2 linked regions of the Arabidopsis thaliana genome follow. The main gene of each other region encodes a partner of the protein of the gene in region 2 in a complex. Each region holds a gene or a part of one and is shown on either strand. Other genes may lie near its edges.

Evidence for each region. The genes of interacting proteins can lie anywhere in the genome.
Region 1: AT1G61790 (region 2) and AT3G09455 share a complex: the UniProt entries of both Arabidopsis thaliana proteins name them as parts of the oligosaccharyltransferase (OST) complex.

The regions. Positions count from the first base shown.
Region 1 is NC_003074.8:2,909,882-2,912,910, reverse strand, and holds AT3G09455 (dolichyl-diphosphooligosaccharide-protein glycosyltransferase subunit), read left to right. Parts: upstream 1-1,556; 5' UTR 1,557-1,805; intron 1,806-2,176; coding exon 2,177-2,284; 3' UTR 2,285-2,500; downstream 2,501-3,029. Other genes in the region: AT3G09470 (Major facilitator superfamily protein), read left to right, coding at 252-342, 439-551, 850-973, 1,061-1,243; AT3G09450 (fusaric acid resistance family protein), read right to left, coding at 2,820-3,029. UniProt on the Arabidopsis thaliana protein: Subunit of the oligosaccharyl transferase (OST) complex that catalyzes the initial transfer of a defined glycan (Glc(3)Man(9)GlcNAc(2) in eukaryotes) from the lipid carrier dolichol-pyrophosphate to an asparagine residue within an Asn-X-Ser/Thr consensus motif in nascent polypeptide chains, the first step in protein N-glycosylation.
Region 2 is NC_003070.9:22,812,605-22,817,203, reverse strand, and holds AT1G61790 (Oligosaccharyltransferase complex/magnesium transporter family protein), read right to left. Parts: upstream 2,838-4,599; 5' UTR 2,815-2,837; coding exon 1,774-2,814; 3' UTR 1,741-1,773; exon of another isoform or gene 1,047-1,740; intron 653-1,046; 3' UTR 516-652; downstream 1-515. Other genes in the region: AT1G61780 (postsynaptic protein-like protein), read left to right, coding at 3,188-3,203, 3,478-3,595, 4,109-4,206, 4,318-4,382. UniProt on the Arabidopsis thaliana protein: Subunit of the oligosaccharyl transferase (OST) complex that catalyzes the initial transfer of a defined glycan (Glc(3)Man(9)GlcNAc(2) in eukaryotes) from the lipid carrier dolichol-pyrophosphate to an asparagine residue within an Asn-X-Ser/Thr consensus motif in nascent polypeptide chains, the first step in protein N-glycosylation.

The DNA of each region.
Region 1 (3,029 bases), on a different chromosome or scaffold from region 2:
TCACAAGGATATCCTTAAATGATTAGGATTTATTGCGATCAAAGTTATTATCGGTCAGGCCCTAGATAACGTACATAAAGTTCATTGTGGTGGTTGGAGTCTCAGGATCTTAGCAGTGAATAGTTGTTTCCAATCTATACATAAGTTTTCATTTCTTGTCAGCGAAATCAGCAAAAGTTTGTTATTTTTTTTGTAAGATATACTGATATAAATCTTCATTATTCTTACAAGTTACATTTTCCACTCTATAGGGCTGAGTTTACAAAGGAAATTGTTACGCCGGCGATTGGTGTCTCAGGTGTTGGTGGGGCGATGGCAGTCTACGGAGCTCTTGATGCAGTTGTAAGTTAAAAGGAAACGTAAAAAATCATCCTTTTTTACTCTCGTGTTTTTTTTATGTGGTTAATCCTTATTTTTCCTGCTGTAAAATCATTCTAGTGTTCAATGACTGCTGGAAGGTTTACCTCTGGTTTGTCATCGATCACCTTCATAGTTTCTGGTGGAGCTGTTGCTCAAGCTTCTGTGTTTCTCTGGCTTCTTCTCGGGTACAGGTTTGATACTTCTACACCCTATTTTCATTCAAACCATTAGCAACTTCACAAATAGAGACATATCGAGTCTAGAAGTCCTTGTGTTTCTGAATTCATGAAATGATTTCCTCATAAAGCTTCATTATGGGTATTGGTATGTATTAGTGGCATTGATCAAGCAACTTCCTTTGGTAGTATCCCGATTTCTTTGTCATATTTGTGAAACTATGCAAGTTCTGAAGAGAATTAGGAATTGCGGGCACCTGACAACCTATAAGTGTTTCTGAAGAATCTAAGCTATGGTGATATGGTGATGCAGGCAAACTAGCGGAGTACTTGGCACAGCTTACCCACTTATAATGGCGGCCATATTAGGAATTGGTGATGGAATATTAAATACTCAAATCAGTGCTCTTCTCGCATTACTCTTCAAACATGACACGGTTAATATTATCAAAATATTATTATTGTTATTCTCTCAACTGACAAATCCTCTAAACGGTCTCCTATGTTTGTACTTGTGAAAACAGGAAGGAGCATTTGCGCAGCTAAAAGTATGGCAGAGCGCAGCAATAGCGATAGTGTTCTTCCTAAGCCCGTACATATCACTGCAAGCAATGCTCATAGTGATGCTGGTTATGGTCTGTGTTTCACTCTTCTCTTTCCTGTTTTTAGCTCTTAAGGTAGAGAATGTATTTACCCACGACGAATAACTCTTTGATCTGTTCACATTCGGGGAGATCACAAGTGTGAAAAGCTTAAAACAGTATTGTCTATTCAATTGTAAAGAACAAAAATGGTCGTTTTGTATAATAATTAATGTCTCTGGAAGTTCCTTATAATTGAGACTTGGGAAGTATGCAACTTTTCAATTTTTCAGTCTTTCCTTTATTCATGTCCTGGATATGACATTTGTAGCAAACCGATATTGACCAAATTAAACCACAAGAACCAAATCTAATAGATGTGAATTTCTCGGTTAAATTAACTAGAAACGTCGTCGTTTGGAGCTAGCTTTTACTTTATTTTTGTAAAACATGTGTTTCATTCAGAGAGACTTCACAGTTGAAGAAACACATTTCACGAGTTCCCTGCTCTTCCAGAATTCTCTATCACGAAATTCTCTGCGCTTTCGAAGGTAAATAATCGGTGATTTCTTTAGGATCTTTTTTTATATACCTTCATATTTTCGAATTCAAATTCTGGTTCTTAGGCATAATTTAGTCCCCGAGGTTTACACTGTGATCTGAGCAAAGCCTTTGTTTCATCTCACAGGTATCAGATTCAACCAATGTCGTGGTTTGGTTATCTTATGAATCAATATTATTTTTATTAACACGTATTGTTCTTACTAGATTTCGTGTTCCAGATCAGGTCTTGTTTGTAGAAGAAATATATATTGAATTTGTAATCAAAATCATGGATTCATTATAATGTATGACCGTAATCGTTGCTACCAATTTTGATAATGATTCGGATATCCTCTAGATCTAGCTGAGATTTTGGAGTGATTTCTACAAGATATAGCTGAGAATGTAGTAGATGTGAACATTTTTGTGAATATCTGATTCGTTTAATCTTCAGACTTCACTTGCTAAGCTTAGCTCTTTGTTCTAATATTCTCTCCAATGGTTATTGTGTTACAGATGTTTGACGATCAAGATCTGGGATTCTTTGCCAATTTCCTGGGAATCTTCATTTTCATACTGGTGATTGCCTACCATTTCGTCATGGCTGACCCTAAATTCGAATAGAAATGAGGTTCAGAATCATTGTTGGTTTCTACAATGTTATGTCAGACTCAACATGTCATTCAGATTCGATACTTGAAGATGTTTTTTTGTAGCTCTTAAGGAAGATGTTTAAGCTTTTGTAATACTTGGTTTTAGCTGCAGAAATCTTTTTTTTTTGTAGTGCTGTTATTCATATACTTTGATAATTCGCTATAAAAGGCTTGTTTCTATAGCAATTTCCGGGTCTTGCATGTTAAATTATGAGCGGATTTGTTATCTGATAGGTTGGTGAAAGCTTTGCTGTATATTTTTGTTTGGATTTACATGTTCATTGATACAAGACCAATCACGAGTCCGTGTATCTGTTAGAGCTAGAGCTAGATGAACTCCAGTTAATAATGAGAATTGTTCTGTTTGCAGCGTTTCTATGTTTTGTTGCTCTAGAGAAACAATTTGCTTCGTTTTTGCTCTTTTTTAGATTAATTTTGTACACCAAACGTTTCTTACAAAATGGTTTGTGCTATAGGTACTAACATCCTCTAGAATTCTTCCAAAATCAAGTTGTATGGGTTATTTCTGTCATAATACATATTGTTTCCTGCATTAATCTGCTAATGCAGAACCCTAGACTGCTCAGACATAGGGCAGTTTCACTCTTGAACGCATCGTCTGCTGTGTTACAACTTATCTTGTCTGTTGCTTCCTTCAGTAGCATGACGAAAGAAACCGAAAACCTCTCCACATCAGCCTGGCTTGGACCCAGCTC
Region 2 (4,599 bases):
CAAGATATATGTGTGTATAAATAATTTTTATGTATATGCAATCGTCATTGTCTTAAATTGTAATAACATACAATGTGACTGTGTGAGACAGGCTGTGTTTTTTTTTTATATAGGTTGAAAATTTGTGCTTAGTCACTTTCAAGACACCTCGTGCCTTTGGGTTAGTTCAATATCCTCGTCGAAAATGAATTTAGTTTTTAAATATTTATTTACCTAAATTTTACTAAATGAGTATTCTTTAAAAATTTGCAAACCTAAATTATGGTAGACTAGTGATTTTGTTTTGTTAGTCCAGAGTATATTTAAATGTTCGCCAAGAGCACTAATGAAATCTTATTAGATTAATTTCATATAAAGATGGAGAAGAGAGTTGTACCATCAGCAATTCTAAAGTTACTTCTCTTCTTCTCATTACACAAATTTATCTCTGAATCTATCTTGAAAGAAACCTTAAACACATGGGCTAATGGACTATTTTTATGATAATGATTGGGCTGCTCTAATAATAAGAAGCATACATACCAAATTTACTAGTGGTTAATTAAAATTAGAGTCGTAAATCCATTAAACATAGCAATATGTCGAAACCCGAACATGCGCCAGTCCAACTCAAACGAAGATCAATCTGACCCGAAATTGTCAAATGAGAGACCTAAAGAAATATGTAAGAAACGTGGATTAGCAAGACTTAGACCCATACACAACGTACAAATAAAACTCAAGGCCCAAGTCGAGAAGCCCCCAAAAACTTATTAGAAAAAGTGAAACACTCATATGGATTAAGCTCATTTTTTCTGTGTGGGCTAGAAATGGATCGAATGAGCTAACTAAGTCGAGATTGTCCAACTAAATTCAAAGACGAAAGAAAATTTCCATCAACCATTTGATTCGACAAAAGACAAATCATAGGTTACTTCACTTTCTCGAGTGAAATCTGAAACTTTTTCAATTTTGCGTGTGAGTGTGACATTTTTTTTTTTTTACCATAAACAAGTATAATCTGTTTTAACTGCTGAAGATTGTAAATTCATTTGATGAAAAAAAAATTAATTGCACAATAAACGCAAACAAACAATCAAAGTCATACTGATGTATCAGAGAGGCATGCTTTGCAATTTTCAAGTTGAAATGATCTCACAAAATGTGTGTACACAAATGAAAAGCCTATCAAGAAGAGACTTGGTTCCCACCTGCGCAAGCCTATGTCATGTCGAATGGCTAAACCTAATCCGAAACTCCATCTCTATCACAAATTTATACTTGAACCTAAATTTTACTTAGACTCATTCTAAAACAGAGAGCAAAACGAGAAGAGGACACAGTCAACGACAAAACATAAGGTCCCATAATGCTTAAACAGAAACACTATCCTCAATCACAAAGTCCCTTTTTCTGAATAGATGCAGTAAGCAAGGGGCGCAAGGCTGAAGACACATAGAAACTCTAAAAGTGTCAATGTACCAAATAACAACAATCCTAGACTGATCTCAAGAAACAGTACCTGAATTTCCAAATATGGTTCCTATATTCAATCGACTAAAGATCCCATATTCTTGGTTATATAAGTTACTCATTCAGATAAATAACTTAACAATGGACTAATGTAACAGTAAGGAGTTTTAAACCATCTGAAATAGTAGTACTACACCGATTCAAAAGTATTTCAAATCGAAACACAAAACATCCAGAAACATCATTACTCAATTCCCATAACTGTTTTTCCAAAACTAAAGCCATTACCTTGTGAAACAGAGATCCTCAAGTGTGATGTAATCAACGCCAACTCGATGGCCAATACGGATGAATTCCATATCCAGTCTTCCAGTTATCCAAGTAAACAACTTTCTTCACAGCCCAGAACGATATGAACAAAGCCAAAAGCATAATCAACCTTTGTGCAGTAATATTCTTCACTCGAACAAGCACATTGGTAACAAACGCCAAAAGCAATCCAACAACAGTATACAAGAATCCAACAGCAAATCCTTCAGCTCCAAGCTGCATTCCAGATCCTTGGTAGAAAAACACAAGCTTATTCGGATCGTTACGATCTTGAAGAAACATCGGCATTTTCCTGATAATGTTGTGCATTGTACCAGCAACACTAAAGAAGTAAATGAAGATAGCACCAGATAACCAAAGTCTAGTATCATGAAGAATAGTTTCTCCTTTCAAAACTCTTTTGATGATAAACGGAGTAGCGATAACGATCAACGCAACGATAATACCGATCTGTGGTTTCGAAAGTAGCGGTGGACGTTGAATAGGACCGACCTTGAGTTTAGTTCGTTGCTCAACAAACTCAGCCATTGATTCAGCTAATCTAGAGTAATCCGATTGATCCATTTGACCAGATTCATCACGTAGATTCGATATCGAAGGACTTACAAGACGAATGTGAGGTAAAGCGTTAACGCCAAAGAGCTGGAACGAAGATTGAGACTTCGAAAACTCGATCTCACAGAAGAAAAGCTTAGTTCCTTCAGATCCATTGTTGTTAGCGAGGAATGAAGCGGAGACGATGCCGAATTCGCGACGGAGCTCTTGAAGACGAAGCTCGTTTTTGCTGTGGAGTTGAGTAGCGTCGAAGAAGACGAGTAACGAGTAAGGACGAGGCGTGGAAGCGGAGGTTAGGAATTTTGAGATTCCATGGTCATCGAGATGGATTACGCCTGATTCGCTTGTTGATCTGAGAGATACAAGTTCGTTGAGAAGATCTGAATCGGAATCCGAATCGGAAAACGAAGCTGCGAATGTGGATGATAGTGTTGCTATGAGGAAGAGAAGAGAGACGAGTTTTGATTTGAGCGCCATTGTTGTTGATCTCTCGTTCTCTCAGATTCGAGAAGACGAAGAAAGTGAAGGAAAAGGGTATTTGCCGTTTACCGGAAAGCCTCTATCTGGAGAAGAAGGTCTCGAAGTTCTTGGTATCTCGCTGGTTGTACCACGTGGAACGTTTTTATTGGTTGATGTACCACGTGGATTATTACGATTCGTGGCATAAAATACCTGTGAGGCTATGAGTTTTGACGAGACATATCCGACTTTCCAAATCCAGAAAAGGAAAAAAAATATATTTAAACATAGATAAAAATTTCAACACCGATAAGTTTTCGTCGTAACTCTAACCCATTCGAATTGATTTAGGCGTTAGGGTTTCTTCATATTTCTCTCTCGGAAGAAGAAGATGGTTTGCGATAAGTGTAAGTCCATCAATAATCTTCTCTTTGAATTCCATATTCTAATTGAATCAATCTATACTTGGATCGGTTTTAATTCTAATTGAATCTATACTATTGGCGTTAGGATTTGTGATTCGTTTCGTTTCTAGCTTAATCGATTACATGTTTCAGGAAGAAATTTAATGATCTCTGATTCGATTTTGGTTTCTTAGATCGAAACCCTAGTTGTAGGATCTCTAATTTAGTTCAAAGTATGAACCTTTTGACTCAATTTGTTTTTATCTTTTAATTTTAGGTGAGAAGAAGTTATCGAAAGTGATAGTTCCTGATAAGTGGAAGGATGGTGCTCGTAATGTAACTGAAGGTGGTGGTCGTAAAATCAATGAGAATAAGCTTCTCTCCAAGAAGAATAGGTATGCATTTCTTATGTTTATCCATCTTCATTTTACTACTTTTCATTATTTGAATTGCAATATGGAAATAGTGATTAATTTGTAGCTTTGGGGATGTTTGTATCGTCTAGTTTGGTATTGGTTTTGTTTCCTGTAGTTTCTTCTAAGAAATATTGGTATTGTAGTTTCGTGTAGTGTCTTTTTTGAGTTGATCCCTCCAGGTTCTTCTAAAAATCATTAGTAATTATAGAATTTCTCATGGAAATAGCGATAAATTTTTTAAGTTTGGGATGTTTGTATTATCTGTTGAGTTGATTAGGCTACTGGACTCTTGCCATCTAGGGTGTAGAACTCCACCGCTTCGCTAGTCCTCTAGGTTTTAATAAGAATCATTAGTAAATGTACAACTTCTCATGGAACTAGCGATATTTGTAACTGTGAATGTTTGTGTTGTCTTTTTTGAGTTGAGTTATTAGTTTTGTTTACTCTTGTTCTGCTTCTAATTTTCTATTGTGATATTTCTTTGCCTTGTAGATGGTCACCTTACAGTACCTGTACCACAAAATGTATGATCTGCAAGCAGCAAGTGCATCAAGATGGTAAATACTGTCACACATGTGCCTATAGCAAAGGTAAATAGTTAATACATCTGTTTTACTCTACTAAATTCTTACCTCTGGTTGGATAGTGATATTATAGAGTAACTTAACAACTGATGGAATTGCCTCTTCGTGGTTGTGCAGGAGTGTGCGCAATGTGCGGGAAGCAAGTGTTGGACACCAAGATGTACAAGCAAAGCAATGTATAAACAAATCCGCAAGCGTTTCACATTTTAGTTTTTGTCCCTTTGATGTCAACGTTGTATCCTCTCACTCATGTATTTTTTTGTATCGGTTTCCTCCGGTTTTAATATAACCAAACAGAATCTTGTTGCTTCACTGTGTTTCTTGACTGATCATAAAGTTAATGTTTCGTTTTAGAACTCGAATTCAAGTATCAAAGATAGATTTGAACATTCCACGGAG